2 linked regions of the Stegostoma tigrinum genome follow. The protein of the gene in region 2 binds, or shares a complex with, the protein of the main gene of each other region. Links are inferred from orthologs where the notes say so. Each region holds a gene or a part of one and is shown on either strand. Other genes may lie near its edges. The genes, in order: vti1a and stx12.

Region 1 (10,806 bases), on a different chromosome or scaffold from region 2:
CCAGAGGGAGCAGTCCCTTCAGAAAGCAAAACGTTATGCGAAAGACTGATGCATGTTGACATAATATGTCGGTGATAGCAACAGCCAAAATTCCAGCAGATGTAAGCATTAGAACAATGGAAAGAGAAGACAAAAGTGAGTCTTGTCATTTCTAGGAATAGAGAAAATAGCCAAGTCTTCTCCTTCTAAAGAGCTTTCTGCTGTTCCAAGCTACCTGTTAAAGACAAAATAGAAGATTTACAAGGATGCTTCCAGAATTCAAGGGTTGGAACTAAGGGAGAGGCTGAATCGATTAGGGCTATTTCCCTAGGGCATTGGAGGCTGAGGGGTGACCCTATTGAGGTTTATAAAAATCACAGAAGCACAGATAAGGTAAATAGGCAAGGTCTTTCCTGAGGTGGAGGAGTCCAAAATTAGAGGGCATGGGCTTAAGGTGAGAGGGGAAAGATTTCATAGAATCCCTAGTGTGGAAACGGGCCCTTCGGCCCAACAAGTCCACACCGAACCTCAGAGCATCCCAGCCAGACTCATCCCCCTATAGCCCACCTAAGCTACACATCCCTATGGGCAGTTTAGCATGGCCAATTCACCTAAACTGCACATGTTTGGATTTAAAAGGGATCTAAGGGGCAACTTTTTCACAGAGAGGGTGGTGCGTGTGAGGAATCAGCTTCCAAAGGAAGTGGTGGGCACTGGTACAACATTTAAAAGGCATCTGGATGAGTATATAAATAATAAGGCTTTAGAGGGATATGAGCCAAATGCTGGCAAATGGGGCTAGATTTATTTAGGATATCTGGTTAGCATGGACAAGTGGACTGAAGAGTCTGTTTCTGTGCTGTATATCCCTATGACCATATGACTCTAAATGCATTAGATATGATGGGTAAAGGGATCTCACTGCTAAATAATAACTGAACAGTAAATGTAAAATTCTTAAATTTTGCTTCACGCTATGGTCAAAATAAAGGAGTTTCTTTGCCGCATTCAGGACTATAAAAATATGCAAAGTGAATGGGTCATAAGGGTTCGTAAACTGGATTAATAAGTTTGCAGATGACACTAAAGTCGGTGGACTGGTGGACAGTGTGAAAGAATGTTGCAGATTGCAGGCTGACTTGGATAACCTGCAGAATTGGGCTGAAAGGTGGCAAATGGAGTTCAATGCAAATAAATGTGAGGTGATTCACTTTGGGAAGAATAATAGGAAGGCAGAATACCGAGTCAATGGAAAGATTCTTGGTAGTGTGGATGTGCAGAGGGATCTTGGTGTCCATATACATAGGTCTCTGAAAGCTGCCACCCAGGTTGATAGTGCTGCTAAGAAGGCATACGGTGTGTTAGTTTTTATTGGAAGAGGGATTGAGTTCCGGAGCCGTGATGTCATGCTGTAACTGTACAAAACGCTAGTGCGGCCTCACTTGGAATATTGCGTACAGTTCTGGTCGCTCCATTACAGGAAGGATGTGGAAGCATTGGAAAAGGTGCAGAGGAGATTTACCAGGATGTTGCCTGGTCTGGACCGAAGGCCTTATGAAGAAAGGCTGAGGGCCTTGGGTCTGTTCTCATTGGAGAGAAGGAGGCTAAGAGGGGATTTAATAGAGACAATCAAGATGATCAGAGGATTAGATAGAGTGGACAGTGAGTCTTTTTCCTTGGATGATGACGTTGGCTTGTATGAGGGGGCATAGCAGCAAATTGAGGGGTGATAGATTTAAGACAGATGTCAGAGGCAGGTTCTTTACTCAGAGAGTGGTATGGGTGTGGAACGCCCTGCCTGCCAATGTAGTTAACTCAGCCACACTAGGGGCATTTAAACAGTCTTGGATAAGGATATGGATGATGATGGGATAGTGTAGGGGGATGGGCTTAGATTAGTTCACAGGTTGGTGCAACATCAAGGGCCAAAGGGCCTGTTCTGCGCTATCAGGTTTACCTCACCAAATCAAACTTCTCAATCTCCTGGGAAAGGCATGTTAAGGTCTCACGTTAAATTAGCAACACTCCAGAACATGAACGCAACTTTGGGAATCTTTAATAAGTTAAATTCAGCAATGTGTTATAGACACAGCAGAACCTGTTGTTTACCTGATCACGTGTCTCGACTTAATTAAGTAGATATTTATTAAATATGTTTAAAGGAAGTGAACAAGATAATGTTAACTTATTTCCAGGAAAACTACTCTGCTTCATTTTCACTAAACTCTGGGGGAAAATGCTGATATTCTAATGTTTAAGATAATTAAATATCTAAAATAGACTCAAGATAGCGGCATCGGCAGAGTAGGTAGGTGGTCGGGCTCCTCAGTCAGTCTCCAGACTGGCGGCATGCTTCTCTCCCCCTCTCCTTTTCATTTCTTTTTCCTTTTTCTTTTTCCCCTTCATCTTTGAGGTCAGAGTGGTGTTAATAGGAGGGGTAGCTGCAGCATGGATTGAGATTTTTGGCAGCAACAGCAGTGTCCAGAGCAGAGACACCTGATGACGAAAGGCCCAGAGCAAGGACCCCTAGCTGCGGTAATCCCAGAGCCTGGACTCTTAGCTGTGTCCGGAGCAGGGACTCTTTGCTGTGTCAACGAGGTGATGGCAGCAGTGGAGCTAAGGTCTCCTGGAGCACTGGCATTGCTGTATCCAGAGCAGGGTCTCATGGGGCTCAGAACATCTTGCAGAAACCATGGTGCCATGCTTGAGACCCAATTTGAACAGAAGATGAACTCTATTTCAGTAATTTCTTTTTATTCTTTTTGCAGCTCAAAATATCACCAAGTTGTGACAATGAAACACTTTCCCCTATATCTTCCCAGATGTGATAATAAAATCATTCATTCGTATTTGCCTTTGCTTGAAACTAATTAAATAAAAAGTATAAATACATATTATCCTGTCATACACACCTCAAAACGTTTACTCTCTTCACAGATACTACATGACTTGCTGAGTACTTTCTACATTTTGTTTACACTTCAGCGTTCTAACATCTGTAATCAGATTAGACATGCATTTCAATTAAAGTAAACAAATACATCACATCCATGCTTAACTATCTCTTCCCAAGTAAAACCAAATTCAGTTTAGATATTTTCTTCTGAAGAAAATAATTGATCCTTAATTTCAACAGGGGATGGGGCCTTTATCATAGAAGTCACTTACCCACATGCCTACCCTGAAATGTCACCGCCCTCTCCCAACCCTCATCCATGTCCTGATACTAATATGTCGTTCTGAGCAAGCAATTAGGACACCCACAGGGAGAAAGCCCAAGCCTCCTTTTAAAAATGCAGATCTGTAATTTCAACCAAAGATCCAAAGAGACATTAGATTTGCAACAACAAATGTTCTGCCTCCACAGATGTTCCTGGACCTGTTGAATTTCTTCAACACTTTCTGCTTTTGTTTCAGATTCTAAAAAAATGTCCTCAGAAACGACAGGTTAAGGAGTGGGGTAAAATAAACCAGATTAACATTTCTGACTGTTAGCCTGCATTTTCTACTCAAAAGTAGCCATGTACGAATGCTGAGCGAGTAGAAGTTTCGGTCTTACTGTGATGTTCTGTCTAGATGATAGGGTGCGTGTCAACACACTCTGACTGTGTAAATACAACCCACTTCAATGCAGTTCGTTCAACTCTAATTGCTTATGAATAATTAACACCGTTGCTCTCAAATCAACCTTGCCTTCCGATCGCTCAACACCTACTTCTGTTTCTACATAAAAAGGCTTCGAACTGTAAAATTCGTTTCTTTTTAATATCGCATTTAAGACATCATCAGAATGCGAAACCAATCCCTGGACGACGAGGTTCAGTCATCCTTCAGCTCTGTCTCCTCAACACCGATCAAACACGAAAAGTGTTTTCCAGCAGAACAGCCTCCCTACCTCCTGACAGTTTCGGTATCCTCCCCACTTTATTGGTGATCTCTGCTGTCAAGGTGCCGAAATCCTGCTCGTAAACCTCGAAATCCGAGGACATTTTCTGTGAGACTGACAGCGGTCGAAGAGTTTAAAGTAGGAGCAGCGGCCGCTTCCTCTACTCGCTCGCTGTGCCGCCCGGAAAGTCCTTCCCCCACCAACTGCCCAGCATTTGGTAGAGAGAGAGAGAGACAGATCGGAAAGTCTGCTGTCTTTAAACACTTATAGATGGAAAGGGGCTGAAGAAGTTTCGACCGGAGTGGTCGCGAGTGAAAATCAAGAGAAAGTCTTCTCCCCGATAAGTTTTGTTTTATTATTTATAAAAATGTGAGCCATGGCGGGGGAGGCGGTTGTGGGTGGCACCGGCGGAAGTGGCGGGTTTACGGTGACGGTTGGTGGCTGAAGGGAAAGAAGAAATAAAACTTTTAAACTATTCCGCACCCCCCCCCCTCCCCCGAGAGGGAAATTAGCTCCAGGATTGGAATTAACACGCTGCCGTCATATTTTAAATCGGTGACTTCCACTTGCGGGTATCCGGCCTGTCACCGGCCCAGTCCGCCCTCCCTTCCTCCATCTCGGGTTGATAGGGATACCGGCCAGGGCTTCGCACCTTGAACACCCGCCCGGTTAACCCCCTCTGTCTGATCATGTTTAATCTCCAGGAACCGCCCTCCTCCTGGAGTTATCAAAGACACAATATGCTTCCGGGGCACGAATGCAGCCAGACGGAAGGAGGAAGCTGTGTGGCGGTTTTGGGGACATGGATGGCAGTCGAGCTAACGTTTGGCTGCTCCCGTTTCTCTGACTCTCTGACATCCAGGCCTCTGGTTACTCCTCAGGCCAGCTCCAGCCGCAAGCAGCCAGAATCTGTGTTTTCTTCTCTATCCCCGTAAGTAATTGACTGAATCAAGGTCTTGATTATAAGGGTGGAGTTGTGTTTTTTTTACTTCAGCTCTAAACATACTTCACTCTTTTTATATCCCACTAGGATATCTTTTTGAGGACACCGCATGAGAAGCTTCAAGCTCATACAGAAGCACTGCATCTAAAGTAATATCATGGGGAATTTACTGGAGGTGAAAGTTGCGGTTCACAGAATTTGTTCAAAACTCTCCCTATTTATCAATCAAAAGTGATCCCTGCTTTTTTTCTGGATGCAAGAATTATTCATTGCCTGACTCTTACTTCCATTAAGTGTAACTGTGTGCATTATGATGGTTGCTGCATGTTAACTGAAGAGTATTGCTGTCTTCAATCAAAGACAATGTGTTCATTTATAAAATTTGAAAATTTACATGAATTGAAAAGAATTTGTCACTGGGGTCCAATTATAGCCCTGTCAGTTATTACAATATGTTCCTCCATGGCCATTATAGACTCAGTACTTTGGTATTGGCCTCTTGACACTCCTGGTGGAAGCATAAATTTCATTTTATTGATAAACTGGACAGTTCTTATACTTTACAACTACTTTAATGCAATGTTTGTTGGTCCTGGCTATGTTCCAATTGGATGGAAACCGGTAAGATGATGTTTGCTCTTTCTCCCTAATTTTTTTTTCTTGTCAAATGTTAAATTTACAATGGCTGTAAAGAGCTGAAAGGAGATAACTATTACAAGATTTCTACAACACATGTAACGCTAACTCTTTGGTTGTGTGTCTGATATAATGGTGATTAAATTAGATGAGAGTAGAGATCAGGGTTCTTTGAACATACGTTTTGAGTGGTAAGTCTTTGCTGTTTGATGCTCCTAGCAATCATTACAGCCATTTAACACATGAGTCATCTAAGCTTGCTACTATATTGCAAACTTGCCCATCTTGGTGATAACACATTGATTTTCTGCCTAGTCTGACAATTTTTGACTGAAGAATTAGTAAACTTGTCCTGATTTTTCATATTTAGTTCCCAGTCTGTCAAGTTTTACTGTTTGTGGCCAACTGCTCACTAATCACAACCAATAACTTAGATAGCAGTTTCAAATATTTTTGCAAAGCAAGTTCTCTGCAGTGACAGCCCTGTGAAATGTTCAGTGACATAACCTCCTAATTAATTTGCTGTATCCCAGCTGAGACCAGCAGGTTGCCTCATGTGGCTCAATCCCCCTTGTACTCAGTTCAGTGTCTTGGGGTTTGAACAGAGCTTCCCCAAGGTTGCAAAGGAGACAGGCAACCACAGCAGTATTTCACAATTGGCCAACAAGCTACTCAATATGTTGTGGAGAAACACCAAAAAGGGGAAAGATGAACAATACCAGAAATTGTTGGAAAAATTCAGCAGGCCTGGCAGCATCTGTGGAGAGAAAGCAGAGTTAATGTTTCAGTTTCAGTAAACCTTCTTCAGAACTGATTGAAAGTAGGAAAAATTTGATATTTGTGCTAGAAAGGAGATTGGGTTAGGGGAAAAAGCCTAAAGAATAGGTAGAAATGGAGCCTATATAGAGAGGAAAAACAGTTGGGCAGGCAAAGAAATGTGGGTACAGGTCATCCTGGAAGAATCTGTACCTGCTAATGGGATCCATTAGTGATTGACTTTAGGTTGTGTGGGGTAGGATTCTACATGACAGCCCGGTGTGTGGGGTTGAGGAAAGAAGATGGAATAAGGTGCTAAGACCCTAAACGTTATTGAACAATATATTGTATCCAGAAGGTTGCAGAGTTCCCAAGCAGAAAATGAGGTGGTACTCTTTCAGTTCATGCTGAACTTTGCTCAAGCATTGTAGGAAACCTGAGACAGAAATGTTGGGCTGTGAAGATAGTGTGTCGAAATGGCAGACAATTGGAAGCTCTAAGCCATTTTTGTCGACAGAATGTAGGTATTCTGCAAAGCAGTCATCCATTCTACACTTCCCCTCCCCAGTGTAGAGGAGACCATGTTGTGAGCAGCGAATACAATAGACTAGAATGAGTGAAGTACTGCTTCGCCTGGGAGGTGTGTGGGGATACTGAGGAGGGAGGCAGTAAATGACCAACTGTTACCCCTCCTGCGATTGCAAGCAAAGGTACTGTAGGAGTCGGGGGAGATATTGGGAGCATGGGAGGACTGAACTAAGATGTCTCTGAGGGAACAGTCCCTGCAAAAGGCTGGCAAGGAGATTGAGGGAATTGTGTCTCTGGTGTTGGCATCCTGCTGGAGGTGGCGGAAATGCGGCTGATGATCCTTTGGGATGTAGACATCGGTAGGACAATAGGTGAGGACAAGACGGGGGGGACCCTTGCACTCCAATGGGAGGGAAGATGCACTTGGGGCTGAAGTATAGGAATGGGTTGGACCCTGCTGAGGGCCCTGTCAATCACAGTGCTCGAGAAGTCATTGGTTGAGGAAGAAGATAAATGTATCAAAGGGCTCCTTGTCAAAGTTGGCATCATCAGGAAAGATGTGATGAAGTTGCAGGAAGTGGGGGAATGGAAGAGAGCCGACAAGAAGCAGAGTGAGGGTGTGTAGTTGAGGTTATCATGGGAGTCAGTGGGTTTGTAGTGGATGTTGATGGCCAGCCTGTCCCAAGAAATGAAAACAGATGTCATGGAAAGATGGGCTAGGTGAAGGTGAGAGCAGAGTAGAACTTGGAAGCAAAATTGGTTAGTTTTTCCAATTCTGGATGGCAAAGGAAAGCAGCACTGATATTAATATACTGGAAAAAGAGTTGTAGGTGCATGCCAGTGGAATAGGAACAAGAAATGTGCACATGCAGGTAGAAGTGGCCATCCCTTGGACCTGAGGAAAGTGGAAGGATTGACAGCAGAAGTTGTTCAAAGTGAGGACGAGCTCAGCAGATGGAGGAGGGTTGTGGTGGTAGATGGGGACAATTCAGGCCTTTTCTCCTAGAATGAGTGGTGGAGAGCCCTGAGTCTATCCTGATGGAGGATGGACACATAAAAGGATTGCATATCCATAGTGACAAGGCAGCTGGAGCCCACAAACCGGAAATTCTGAAGCTGACATAAAGCATCAAAAGTAAGATATTTCACTCCCAAAAATAGAGTAATAAACCATTAGCTCCGAGAGTTCCATACTAAGTTCTCTGGGAATAAAAAGAAATTTTGTAAACTTTTTTTATTGTAACACCATCTCTGAAAACGCAGCAGAAGGGGGAACAGATGTACTTGTTTAAATATAATTCACAGGATAAACTCGGAGTAGAAAATCTCTCCCCTCCCCCACTCCAGTGGGACTGTCCGTTCTTTCCACTCTAGCAGTTAGACACACCATTGTTCTGCCATTCTGGCGTTCCTATCGCTTAATTTGAACTATCCATGTCCTTTCTCCTCCCGCACACCAGCAACCTCTGCCCTCCCCCTCCCCAAACAAGGCATTGCATAAATGCTGCCCTTCCATACTTCACTTCAAGTTTGTTGAAGACTCGAAACATTAGCTTGCTGTCTCCACAGTTGCTACCGAACTCACTGTGATCTCCAGCATTTTTTGTTTTCCGTACAGATACCAGCATCTGCAGTAATTTGCTCCAATGTTGTGTGCCACTTTTGTTTTCCTATCTCTGCTTTATTTTTGCATTAATATTTCTGCAATTCATCTATCATGATGTTTTTGTCTTCTCTTACAATCGTAGAATCCCCATAATGTGGAAACAGGCCATTTGGCCCAACAAGTCCACTCCAACACTTTGAAGAGCATCCCACCCAGACCCACTCCCCTACCTTATCCCTGTAACCCTGCATTTCCTGTAGCTAATGCACCTAACATACACACCCCAGGACACTATGAGCAATTTAGCGTGGCCAATCACCTAACTTGGACATCTTTGGACTGTGGACAGGTCCTGGAGCACCTGGAGGAAACCCACACAGACTCAGAGGGAGCGTACAAACTCCACACAAGCAGACAGTCACCCGAGATGGGGATCAAACCCAGGCCCCAGGTGCTGCGAGGCTGCGGTGCTAACTACTGAGCCACCACTTAGAACAAATACAATGCCTAAGGGGCTTGCTGAAACAAATGTGTAAAAGTCTGAACAGATATTAGACCAACTGGTCTATTATTTCTTCGCAAGTGTCTCCTTATCTCATTTGGATCTGAACTTATACCACACTGAGCTACATTGCTTATGTAGGTCGCCTGGTTCCTAATCCACACCATCCTCAATCATCTGTTGCAGTAACTGAAATCTGTTAGTAAATCTACTGAGAATGCTATGTATGTTTGTCCTACTTTGACATGTAACTTTGTTATGTAAGATAACATTTCTGATGATGCAGGCAATTAGTAACACAAAGCAAACAGCACCTTCTCTCGCACTGTCCTCACTCTCTTTCACAGACACAGACACAATAACTGAACCATTCATCCTCTTTGCATGTAATCAGTTTCTATATTCTTATACTGAAATCAACTATGATTGTTGTAATTAGCTACTTGTTCTGTTCAAGGACAACCCTCAGGATACAATGTATCTTCAGGACTGCAGAATCTGTCAAGGTTACAAGGCACCACGGTCCCATCATTGTCGTAAATGTAACAGGTATGGTTGGACTAGTTTACACAGAAAAACACAAATGTAAGATCTTGTTTTATACAGCTTGGCAATATTTTGAAATTAAGGAACATCTTCCAACAAGAGAGCTATTTCAGTCCTTTTGTTGAAAACATTCTTGTTGCTGTTTCTACTTTTGTTCTTTTTCTTAGAGGTTCTTATAAAGAGTTCAGAATTAACATAATCAGGTAACGCAAGGTTTGTTTGTGGGCTTTGTGATGGTAAAGATCAATTTTACACCCAGTGGCAGATGGCATTTGTCACCTCCAAGATGAGGTATGATGCATTCACACTAAATATAAAAATAGAAAAACTCCAGCTACAATCTGCAATATCAAAGAAGTACGGCACATATTGTCAGCATCTGAAAAGATAAGTCACTATTTGATAGAGATAGTAGGAACTGCTGATGCTGGAGTCTGAGATAAAGGTTCGCACCCGAAACGTCAGCTTTCCTGCTCCTCTGATGCTGCCTGGCCTATTGTGTTCACCTAGCTCCACACCTTGTTATCACTATTTAATACTTTACGCGCAAATACCTTGTCTAAATTAACTTGTCTGTTTAGATATCGACTGACTGTAGTGTATTTGCAGCTATTTTCCATTCAGACTGATACAGTTTAGTAAACTTTAACCCTTCCCAATTTAACCAAATTGCATTGCTTATAGTTAGAAGATAAATGTATGCAACTAGATTATAATTGTTACATCCACTGTAATATTCACTAATTCATGTAATGGGTTCAAGAATTGAATCGCACTGAAATGCTTTCAGTAACTTTTACATTTTGTGTTTAAATTTTATTGCAATTCATTGGCATCATTTTAAAGCTCTGTAGTTCCATTAAAACATATGTGCATACCTATGAATTGGGAACAGGAGTGGCCACTCGGTCGCTAAATCTAGCTCCAACATTCAATAAGATAAAGGCAATCTGATTAGTCCATGTACCCCTGGTAAACATTTACTTGTCACAACTTGTTTGCCAAGAATCTATGTATCTCTGTCTTAAAAATACCAAAGAAATTTGCTTCCACAGCCTTTTGTGGAATGAAGTTCTAAAGACTCAGTACTCTGACAAAATATTTCTTCTTATTTGTGTTTTAAATGGTTGATCATTGGCACTGCTCGCATTGAACCAATGACCCGTAATTCTAAATTGTCCCACAAGAAGAAACATCCTTTTCACATGCGTCCTATCGAGACCTCTCTCAGGATATTGTATGTTTTAATCAGATCACTGTGGGATGTGCTTCCTGTTTCATCTAGTAAACATTCTCTGAACTGTTTCAATGCAATTACATCCTTTCATAAATAAGGAAACCAATGTTGTAAACAGTAACAAGGTAAAATCAACCTGCTGAAAAGTCCTCCTCCATTAAATGTGGGGGAGTAGTGCCAAAATTGG
Region 2 (10,747 bases):
AGGCTCACTGATGATGTTACCTAGAATGGTGACAAAACGTCTGAAAACTAACCTTCCAGCTCAGCGAGCAAACTCAAATCCAGATATTTTGCCATCTGAAAATTTAAAAGAATGCCAAGTAATTTTAACTTCCTGGTTTGATGCTGTCCAGAATATTTCAATGTGATTGGTTCACTGACTTAATTGGACCTCAACACATCCTCTGACTAGGCATCAGGTTGAAATTGTCAGGAAACTCGAGAGATCCTGGAAGGCAGCTTGCTTCAAGGTCAGCAGTGCATGCCTTTGCTTCACTAATGACCACAAAATCCAGACAATTCATGCAGCAAAGATTGTGTTTAGTAATTAAATAGTGAAATGAATTAGGCCATTTGCTGAAGCATCAATTTCACTTACAAAAAGTCAAAGCTGTACAGCACAGAAACAGACCCTTTGGTCCAACTCATCCATGCCAAACAGATATCCTAAATTAATCTAGTTCCATTTGCCAGCATTTGACATATACCTCCAAATCCCTCTAATCATATACCCATCCAAATACCTTTTAAATGTTGTCATTGTACCAGTCTCCACCACTTCCTGTCATTGCTCATTCCATACATGCACGACCCAGTGTGAAAAAGTTGCCCCTCAGGTCCATTTTGAACCTTTCGCCTCTCACCTTAAAACTTATGTCCTCTAGTTCTGGACTCCCCCACCCTGTGGGGAACACCGACTATTCACCCTGTTCATGATTTTATAAAATTCTACAAGATCATCCTCAGCCTCTGACCGTCCAGGAAAATTACTTCCAGCCTATTCAGCCTCTTCCTTTTAAATCTTTTCTGAACCCTTTCAAGTTTCACAACATTCTTCCTATAGGAGGGAGACCAGAATTGAACATATTATTCCAATATTTGTATGTAAAAATAGTGTTAAAAATGTGAATGCTGTGAAAGGTGCAATGAAGTTTCTTTTCAAAATCCGAGATGGAGACTATCACTGGCTATTGACTCCTGGTTGTCTACTCTAGATTTAGTCCTCTTGCAGACTTCATTTCTAGTTAGTTTCCCATTCCACCTATTATTTTTTCAGATTAAAACAAAGTGGAAAGGCCAAACAGTAACAAGTGATTCAGTTAGAACGGTTATCTTAGGATACCTATAGTGTGAAAGGAGGCCATTCAGCCCATCAAGTCCACACCCCTCCTCCAAAGAAAACCCCACACAGACCAACCCCCTACCCTATCCCTGTAACCCTGCATTTCCCATGGCTAATTCACCTCATCTGTAAAGACCTGGGCATTATGGGCAATTTAGCATGGCTAATCCACCTAACCTGCACTGTGGAAGAAAACCCATGCAAAGAGGGGGAAGGGGGTGGTGGTGGAGGCGGAGAGAACTTGCAAACTGCACACAGTAGCCCGAGGGTAGGATTGAACCTAGCTCCCTGGTGCCGAGACAGCAATGCTAACCACTGAACCACCACAGGTTATTATACAGGAGACTGCCAGTTAGCCACTTTGGGCAGCGTTGGAACTCTGGCACAGCAATTTTAGCTAGTCGCAATTCCTTGCCCTGTGGCCACCACAAACCCATCACTATGGTAAAATTGTCTCAGATTCCCTTTTCCTACTTTTAAACCAAGGAGCAAATGGCAACATGCTTGGAATGCACAAGTGCTACAATTCCAAAGGTGTATAGATAATTCAGAACAAATATTAATTGTTCCAACTGACAGCACGATATTCTGTTGTGTCGCCATAATACCTTTAAAAGATGGAACTTCGCGTGAAAAATTCAGCTGGTAACTCTCTACAGCAGTATACTTATGTAGTCACTTGTGAACAAAGTGAAAGTTCAATCTAAATGTGAACAGGACAACTTGGCAATTTGCTGCTACCAGGGCACATCTGTCAGATCTACGCTCAGTCTGCTTTACTTCCCTGACTGAAATGCTTTTCAATCCGTTGTAATGTGAAATTAAGAAAAGAATAATCACAGTTCAATTCACAACCTGTGCCAAATTAGCCAATCTCAATGAAAACAGTGGTTCATAAAGGAGATAATCAATCTAAATTCTCATTCCAAATCATTAACTAATGAAGTTCACTGTTAAATGTACACATCAAGGATGACAGAACAGGTGTCAGCTGTATATCTGAATCAAAACGATAAAGCAGAAGGCACTTTCAGGAAGGAAGGGAAATATAGGAAGAAAAGTCTTTATATTAAATGTTTGTGGTGTATTCATAAATACAGGATCTGGCAATCTACTTATGAATTCAGAGACCAGGAATGTGATCATTAACAACTTTGAAAATAAAACGATTGCAGCTATGTTTACCTAACAGTTCACACAGCATGACATATTGAAATACAGGAACAGTCCACTGACTTCAGTGTGATGTTCTTTCAACTCACTAGCGACAGCAGATTGTTTTCAGGCAATGCAACAGCCACATTCCTAAAAAAGAGGTAACTGCAGTAGTAACTGAAATAGTGCCATATTCTGGAGAATATGAATGATACAAAGGTATCTTTCCTGTTCTAATTATAACAGCTCATTTATAATTGCTCAAATGTGCTCTAATCTGGCTCACTAGTAGCAATGACAAGTATATTACATGTGTTGTTAACAGGATGAGTTTGGAGGCCAGTGGAAAACAGCCTTTTCTCATTCATGACTAATCATAAAAAATTAGTCAGTTAAGGATGATTCACCTTTCAAAAATGAGACAACTTGTTAAGAGACTAATAATAGAAGAGGTCTAGTTTGAATTAAATTTTATTGAAGACATTAAAAAAGGCCTTCTTAATACCACTATGAGTATGGCTACACCCAGAGATTCCAGAAGCAACCTAGCACTCTGATATAAGAAGGTGTAGAGCTGGATGAATACAGCAGAGGAGCAGGAAGGCTGACGTTTTGGGCCTAGACCATTCTAGGCCCGAAACATCTGCTTTCCTGTTCCTCTGATGTTGCCTGGCCTGCTGTGTTCATCCAGCTTTACACCTTGTTACCTTAAATTTTCCAGTATCTGCTGTTCCTACTATCTCTCGCACTCTTTCTACAGAGCAATTAGGGATGGACAACAAATGCTAGCCCAGCCAGTAGCACCCTGACTCTAAAATTTTTTGAAAATATAAAATACAACTTAACACCTAGGTCATTTAGCCACACCACAAATACATCCAAGTGGGCTGTCAGGGTTGAGGTGGTGCAATATCACATTTGAAAGAAGTCAAAATACTGGAAACAAAGTCCACAGTAACTGTCAAAGTTAAACGGTCATGCTTCAATAGAGCTAGTTCAACATCAATATTTGCCACATTTATAGGTATTAACAGCTTAGTTAGGGCCAATTATATTTTTTGCTGAGGCTGTGCTTGCTTGGATTAGACTGGCTACCATAATTCTCCAATTTGCCTTTTAAACATTCAGTAGTCAGACTGAATGGTCACAGACTCCCACCCAGAAACAGTGAATTATGCAAGCTTCAAAATGCCATCCTTGTGGGCAAGACAGCTCAATCCTGTATCCTACAGAACATCTTCACAAACTCATTAAAATTAACTTCTTTTATAACCACTTCATCAAGATTCCAAACAATGCCTCAGAGTCCAAACCTGAGTAGCACTTAGGTGTTACCTCTGCCCTTGAACTCTAAACAGTCATCCCCAACTCTGAATTCAAAATCAAAAATAGAAATTGCTGGAGAAATAGTTCTGAAGGATAACTAGACCCAAAACATTAACACTGTTTTCTCTCCACAGAGGCTGTCGTACATGCACATGTTTCCAGCAATGTCTGTTTGTGTTTCAGAGCTCCAGGATTTTCGGTTCTTTGTTTTAAGAAAAAAATAAGTATTGAAACCCTCGTCTCATTGACAGGTCCCTTCATGGCCACCGCCCACCATCCTCCATTGGAGTCCCTCCGCTTGCCCATACAATCCACCACACTCAACACTTCAATTTGGCCCTGGTGCTTCCTTTGGCTCCGTAAAGCAGTCAGGTTCGAACAGGTTATAAAGGGCGTTGGCTGCCTTTAAGTCGCCTTCACTCACGTTCGAGCATCGGCCCGGGCCAGGGCCAGGGCCAGGGCCAATAACAGCTGGGTAGCCCAGGGAGCTGCAAAATAATGTACCCCAACCGCCCCAGTGCGCAGGCGCCAGGTCACCTATCTCTATAGATACACTATTTGGCCCCGGTCAAAAAGTGTTGTCGACAACGGAAGAGTAAATAACACACACCTCCACCCAAGGCTGCCTGCTTTATCCGAGAGTTTCCTACCGCAGCGTATACCTTAACCAAAGGAGCGCCGCTCCCGACACCCACCGAAAGCCCCGACAAAATCACGTGAGCTTAACGTCACGGACGTGGTCACGCCCACTCGTGCGGGATGATGTCACCAGGAATCTGTCAATCACACCTTGGAGGCCATTCAGCCCATCCACACCACAGAAAGAGAGTGAGCCAGCGAGAACTCCAGATGCTGGGGTCAGAGACAATAAATATGTTATAAACCAGTCCTGATGAAGAGTCTAGGCCCGAAACGTCGACTCTCCTGCTCCATTGTGCTGCCTGACCTGTTGTGTTCGTCCAGCTCCACACTGTGTCGACTCCAGGAAGGAAGCTGGCTTCTGCTTTCACTTTCCCATGCTCTTGTCTGCAGGTAATCGTACCAGGACAGTCAGCTTGGATCACAAGCGCAAATTGCAGGAGAAACTGGGCTGGTCTGGAAGCATCTGCACGGAGAGAAACAAGTGTTAACGTTTCCAGTCCCGTGACCCTTCATCAGCACTCAACTCAGATTAGAGATAACAAAGTATGGAGCTGGATGAACGGAGCAGGAAAGCTGACGTTTCGGGCCTAGACCCTTTCATCACGGATTCTTAAGCATCTGCAGCTCCTATTACCTCAACTCAGATTAGAATTTAGTTGTGATTAAGGGTCATTGGAGTCAGAACATTAACTGTTTTCTGTCTCCACAGATGTTACTAGACCTGCTAAGTTTCTCCAGCAATTTTTGTTTTTGTTTCAGATTTTCATCATCCACAGTTCGTTGTTTAATTTCAATTAGCTTGGACGGCTGGTTTGTGATGCAGAATGATACTAACAGTATGGGCTCAATTTCTGCCCCCAGTTGGGGTTACCAATGAAGGGCTGTCCTTGCCCTGAAGGAGGGTCACTGGACTTGAAACATTAACTCTGTTTTTCTCCGCACATGCTGCCAGACCTGAGTTTCTCCAGCAATTTCTGTTTTTGTTTCAGATATTCTACGTCTGCAGATCTTTGCTTCATATGACCATTGAGGCCCTTCTCAATCTCACCTCTTGCCTGAGGCATGGTGACCCTCAGGGTAAACCATCTCCAGTCATCTCCCTCTAATGACAATGCTGCTCCACAGTCAAGTAGGACTTTGGTGATTTACCATTTACGAGAACGCTTTGCTGTCACAATAAAATCAAAACATTGCAAATTTCAGAAACCTGAAACAAACACAGAAAATACTGGTGAAACTCAGCTGGTGTGACAGCAACTGCAGACAAACAGTATTGCTGTTTCAAGCCCAATATGACTAATTCTTCCGGGGTTGGAAAATGATGGTTTTTATGTTTGTGACAGAGCACATCTCCAGCTGCTCATCTGTAAACACACTATGACATTATGATCCCACATGCTGAGCTTGACCGCTCTTTTTGCTGCACTTCATTTGTCCTCCAGAACATCTGAACATACATGAATTAGGATCAGATGTCATTCATTTGGCACCTTGAGGTTGCCCCAACATATTCATTTATATGATGTGGATGTTACTAAATGGCCAGCATTTACTGTCTATCCCTAACTACTCTTGAGAAGGTGTCTTGAACCTCTACATTAAACTGGTGTAGGTATACACACAGTGCTACTAGGAAGGTAGTTTCAGGAGTCTGTTCCAATTAGAGTTAAAAAAAAGTGATATAGTTCCATGTGAGGATGACCTGTGACTTGGAGGGGAGCTTGTCGGGGATGGTGCCCCCTTGTATCTTTTGCCTTTATTCATCTAGTTGTTGGGGGTCTTGGATTTGGAAGGTGTTGTTGTAGAAGGCTTGGTGAGTTGATGCACTACTTCTTGCAGATGGTGTACATTGCTGCTACTGAGCATTGGTGGTGGAGTTTAAATGGCTGGTTGGAATATCAATCATGTGGGCTGTTTTATTTTTGGGTGGTGTCAAGCTTCTTCAATATTATTGGAGTTGGAATCACCTAGGTGAGTGAAAAATATCCCATTACACTCCTGACTTGCACCTTGCAGATTGTAGATAGGCTTTGGGATCAGCTACTGGTTACAGAACTCTCAATTTCTGACCTGATAACATATTTTTGGGGTTGTTCAGTTCAGTTTCTGGTCAGTGTTGACTTCCAGGATGTCAACAGTGGCAAAATCAATATTAGTAATGCCATTGTACATCAATGGGTAAAAGTTAGATTCTCTTGTTAGAGATAGTCATTGCCTTGTGTGGCACATAAGTTAATTTCAACTTATGAGCACAAATATGGATGATGTTCAGATCTTGGTGCATATGGTCATGGACTATTTTAGTTTCTGAGGAGTCATGACTGCCGCTGAACCTTATGTCATCATCACCAAACATCTCTATCTCTGACCTTATAATGGAAGGGAGGTCCCTATTGAAGCAACTGATAGTGGTTGGGACTGGAACACGACTCTAAGAGACTTCTGCAGCAATTTCTCAGGACTGTGATGATTCACTTCCATCAACCACAATAATTTTCTTTTGTATAAAATTTTATCACAGCTAATCTGACTGTGGCTGAAGTCAACTTTCCTGTTTACCCTGATAATCATTGACTCCTATTGTCAATCAAAAATCCACCTAACTCAGCCTCATTTTGTATTCATTTGTGGGATATGAGCATCACTGGCTGGCCAGCATTTCTTCCCCATCTGCAATTGCCCTTGAGAAGGTGGTAGTGAACTACTTTCTTGAAGGGCTACAGTCCCCTGGCGTGAGTTGACCCACAATGCCATTAGAGAAAGAATTCCAGGATCTTGACCCACTGACAGTAAAGGAATGGCAATATATTTCCAAATCAGGATGATGGGTGGCTTGGAAAGGAACTTGAAGAAGGTGGTGTTCCCATGTCTCTACTGCCTTTGTCCTTCTAGATAGAAGTGATCCTGGGTTTAGAAGGCACTGCCTGAGGATCTTTGGTGAATTTCTGCAGTGTATCTTGTAAATAGTACACACTACTGCTACTGAATGTCAGTGGTGGAGGAAGTGGATGTGGTGCCAATTAGGCAGGCAGCTTTGTCCTGGATGTTGTCAAGCTTCTTGCGTGTTATTGGAACTGCATGGATCCAGACAAGTGGAGACTATTCTATCACACACCTGACATGTGCCTTACAGATGATGGACAGTTTTTGGGGAGTCAGGAGTTACTCACTACAGTATTCTTTGCCTCTGACCTGCTTTAATAAGTCACCGTATTTATGTGCAAGTCCAACATGTTGATAGTGGGGTTTCAGTGATGGTAACACCATGCATGTGAAGGGCAATGGTTAGACGTCCCCATATTGGCAGTGGTCATTGTCTGGCATTTGTGTGGTGCAAATGTTATTTGCTAAGTGTCAGCCTAAAACTGGTTATTGTCCCGATCTTGTTGCATTTGAACTTAAAATGAATATTCAATGACTCTGCCTACACCACTTTATTGGGAAAAGATTTTCACAGACTAATGACCCTCTAAAAGAAAAGCTTCCCTGTCGTCATCATCTTAAACTATATCTTCTAATCTTTGTTTCTCCCCATAAGGGAAAACATCATCCACCCTGTCACGTTCCCTCAAGGAGAGATCCCTATTGTTTTCCAGCTCTGATCAACTGACAAAAATACCGACAATTTCCCTCCCTAAATGTCATTTTTTGGGGTTCTTTTTGACGTTACATTTTCAAGCACCCCTTTATTTGACTATAAATGGAATTTTAGGCACATATCCTCACATCCTCATTTCAAAGATCACTGTTTCCTTCCACAGATCTTTAAGTATTGTTTGAGTTTCTGATGCATACAGAAAGTTGGGTAAGAACTCTTAGTTTCTTTTCTTGCTCAAATTTTCTTATTTTTGGCTCCTTTTCCCATAGTCCTGCAATTTTTTTCTCATCAAAGGATTTATCCAATTCTGCTTTGTAGGTAGTCTTGGCTCTGTAAAGCCAGTCACTTTCTCCTTCCCAGCATTGCCAACCCTCTAAGATTTTCCTAGTTGTTGTGGGGGAGGATTAGATCTGCCAGAGATGGGATAGATAGGGGGCCTGTTAGCAGGAGCACAGCTATTGTAACTCAGAACTCCATGGCAGCTATCACTGCCATGGAATATGTAACCCATAAACTTCATCCTGTTACCCTATTTAGGAAAGCCCTGGGGAAATTAAAAATACGGATTTTTTTTTAAAAGAGAGTGCTATTCTTCAATAACTTGTCAAAATATTAATGATAAGTCTGATTGACTGGTTGGAGCAGTTAAAAACAGGTCACAAAATCTCTAATGACATGTAAAAGCCTACTCATTCTTTATCACAAAAATATTAACTAAAGTAAAAACATATACATCTGGACGGAGGGGTGCAGAAATATTAGAATTTTAGGTGTGAATTTTGAGAATTTGCTGCTTATTCAAACATGACCTGAGTTGCAAAACCGCAGACTCTCAACACCACAAAGATCACTTATTTCAACCTTTGCCTGTCTGGCTGTTCTGCAGCATGGCTAGGTTCCAGGTTATTACAATGAGACTAGGAGGGATAATTGACTCTGCTCTTTTCAACCTCCTTTTCAGCTGCAACAAATGCTTGAAATTATTTTGTAACCCAAGGCCATGTCTCTAATAAAATGTAGTTACCCAATGTCCACTGTATCAGTAGGAGGGCTAGGTTGGCTCAAGTGGCCGGATTGCTGGCTTGCACTGCAGTGGTGCCAACAGCGCAGGTCCAATTCTTACACCAGTTGAAGGTACCATGAAAATTCCACCTTCTCAACAACTCCCCTTGCTTAAAGCATTGCAACTCTTGGGTTAAACTCACCAGCAAGCAACTTTTTAATGAGCATACAGTCCTCTGGGACTGTGGTGACTTTACTGAGTCAGCAAGAAGGCACTTACTAGTCTTACTTGAGGAAAAGAAAGCAATCTTATTATCTGCTAAATTCAAGAAAAGTAATGAAAATGCAGCATAAATCTATTTATGGAATTGATAGGGGGCCTGTTAGCAGGAGCACAGCTATTGTAACTCAGAGCTCCATGGCAGCTATTTAGGTACACATAGGTACAAGGTGAAAGAAGGAACATGCAGTTTAAAATCCTGGTGTTCTTGAGGCGTATGGTTTTCACCATGGGTTGTATAATTAATTGCTTACATTCTCAGCAGTAGCCAATCTTTTAGTTGTTCTTTCTCAATGGTCAGATGCTTCTTTTTTAAATTAGTTGTGTGACCAGGCACTTTCCTTCTTGAGAGGCTGACAGCACTTTCTCCAGTTGATTCCAGTTGCAGTCAAAAATCTATCTCCCCTGCTTTGACAAAAACAGCTCTTTGGAGCACCTTTTGCATATTCTGTTTGTGGAAGTTTCTACAGGTCTGCTAATTGGAAGCAAGTTTCAATCTTCAACATGTGAAAAATTTGTGTAAACATGTAAATAAAAATAGAAGGTAAGGGTTTCTTTACGTCTGAGTTGACTGGTTTCAATAGCTTTTAAACAAACGTTAATTTTGGTTCCAGCAGTGTTGGTTTCATGATATTTGAAAATTGGCATGAAAGCAACTGCTATCTATTAAGAGTTAACAATCAACAGCTCTAAAGAGAAAATCACTTACCAAACAAACAAACCAAAACAAAAATCACTGGCTCTCACGGAATTCTCTAAGCTCTCAAAGTAAGCATCATCTAAATAAGGGTATAGTGGCACTCTTAGCTAATATTGCTGACACAAGAATTGTTTTATTTGGGATTAGTTAGTCGTTAAGTGAGAATTGTTTGATTTGTTAACAGTTTGATTGTGATTCATTCACTGTTAAGAGTTAGATAAATAAATTGTTCCTTGTTAAGTATGAAGTGCGTATCGGGAATTTCTTTCATTTAACCATTCCTTTATAACAGGTTGGGCGGTGCAAGGCAGTTTCACACTTCCTTTATCAGATTGAGGCCAGGCCTGCTTCTCTAGGTACGTCAGAAAGCAGGTCAACCTCTGCTTTGTAAAACTCTGTTGATTTACTACCTTGAATGCCCACACGATTTTGCTACTGATACGGTTGATGTTTTCTAATCTGAGTGTATTGCAATATCTTTGTCCACGAAATTGACACCTACCAAGTCACAAACTCATCTAATTTATGTAAATCAATCTGCAAACAGAATTATTGTGTTACTACAAGACACATACTTATGGCATATACAATTGAAAAAGGTGCTTCAGTTTAAGTTCCCTCTGTACCAATAATGGAAAACATGAACAGTAATTGGCCCAACACAGAGCTCTACAAAACTCTGCTCATAATCAGGCACCAATAGTTATCCAACACTCTGCAAGTAAAGCTTAGATTATGCATATCCTGCATTCAAAACAGAAACGATAAAAGAAAATCATGTTTATTTTAGTTTACAAAATAAATTCGTTTTTACAGGCTCATGAGTATGATAAAATCAGAATTTCGATAAAAGTACAACTGGAAAAATTAAAATGTCAACATTTGCGAGCAGAACTTAGTGACT

Evidence for each region.
Region 1: the proteins of stx12 (region 2) and vti1a are in contact, whole or in part, in a crystal structure (PDB 2NPS), measured with the Rattus norvegicus proteins. The link is inferred for Stegostoma tigrinum from reciprocal best matches to the Homo sapiens genes STX12 and VTI1A. Residues at the interface, in NP_075228.2 of Rattus norvegicus: Glu185, Ile188, Gln189, Leu191, Glu192, Ile195, Leu196, Val198, Asn199, Phe202, Lys203, Leu205, Ala206, Ile209, His210, Gly213, Ile216, Asp217, Glu220, Val223, Glu224, Ser226, Glu227, Val230, Glu231, Ala233, Ser234, Asp235, Leu237, Gln238; in XP_038945999.1 of Rattus norvegicus: Arg131, Arg134, Ser135, Arg138, Leu139, Ala141, Gly142, Ile145, Ala146, Glu148, Thr149, Ile152, Gly153, Met156, Asn159, Leu160, Asp163, Arg166, Arg169, Ala170, Arg173, Leu174, Glu176, Thr177, Asn180, Leu181, Lys183, Ser184, Ile187, Leu188.

What each region holds. Positions count from the first base shown.
Region 1 is NC_081373.1:25,209,029-25,219,834, forward strand, and holds the start of vti1a (vesicle transport through interaction with t-SNAREs homolog 1A), read right to left. Parts: upstream 4,294-10,806; 5' UTR 3,969-4,293; coding exon 3,875-3,968; intron 1-3,874. Other genes in the region: palmitoyltransferase ZDHHC6, read left to right, coding at 5,133-5,429, 9,294-9,385. UniProt on the Homo sapiens protein: V-SNARE that mediates vesicle transport pathways through interactions with t-SNAREs on the target membrane. These interactions are proposed to mediate aspects of the specificity of vesicle trafficking and to promote fusion of the lipid bilayers.
Region 2 is NC_081377.1:38,844,366-38,855,112, forward strand, and holds the start of stx12 (syntaxin-12), read right to left. Parts: upstream 4,425-10,747; 5' UTR 4,317-4,424; exon of another isoform or gene 4,232-4,316; intron 4,070-4,231; exon of another isoform or gene 4,046-4,069; intron 1-4,045. UniProt on the Homo sapiens protein: SNARE promoting fusion of transport vesicles with target membranes. Together with SNARE STX6, promotes movement of vesicles from endosomes to the cell membrane, and may therefore function in the endocytic recycling pathway.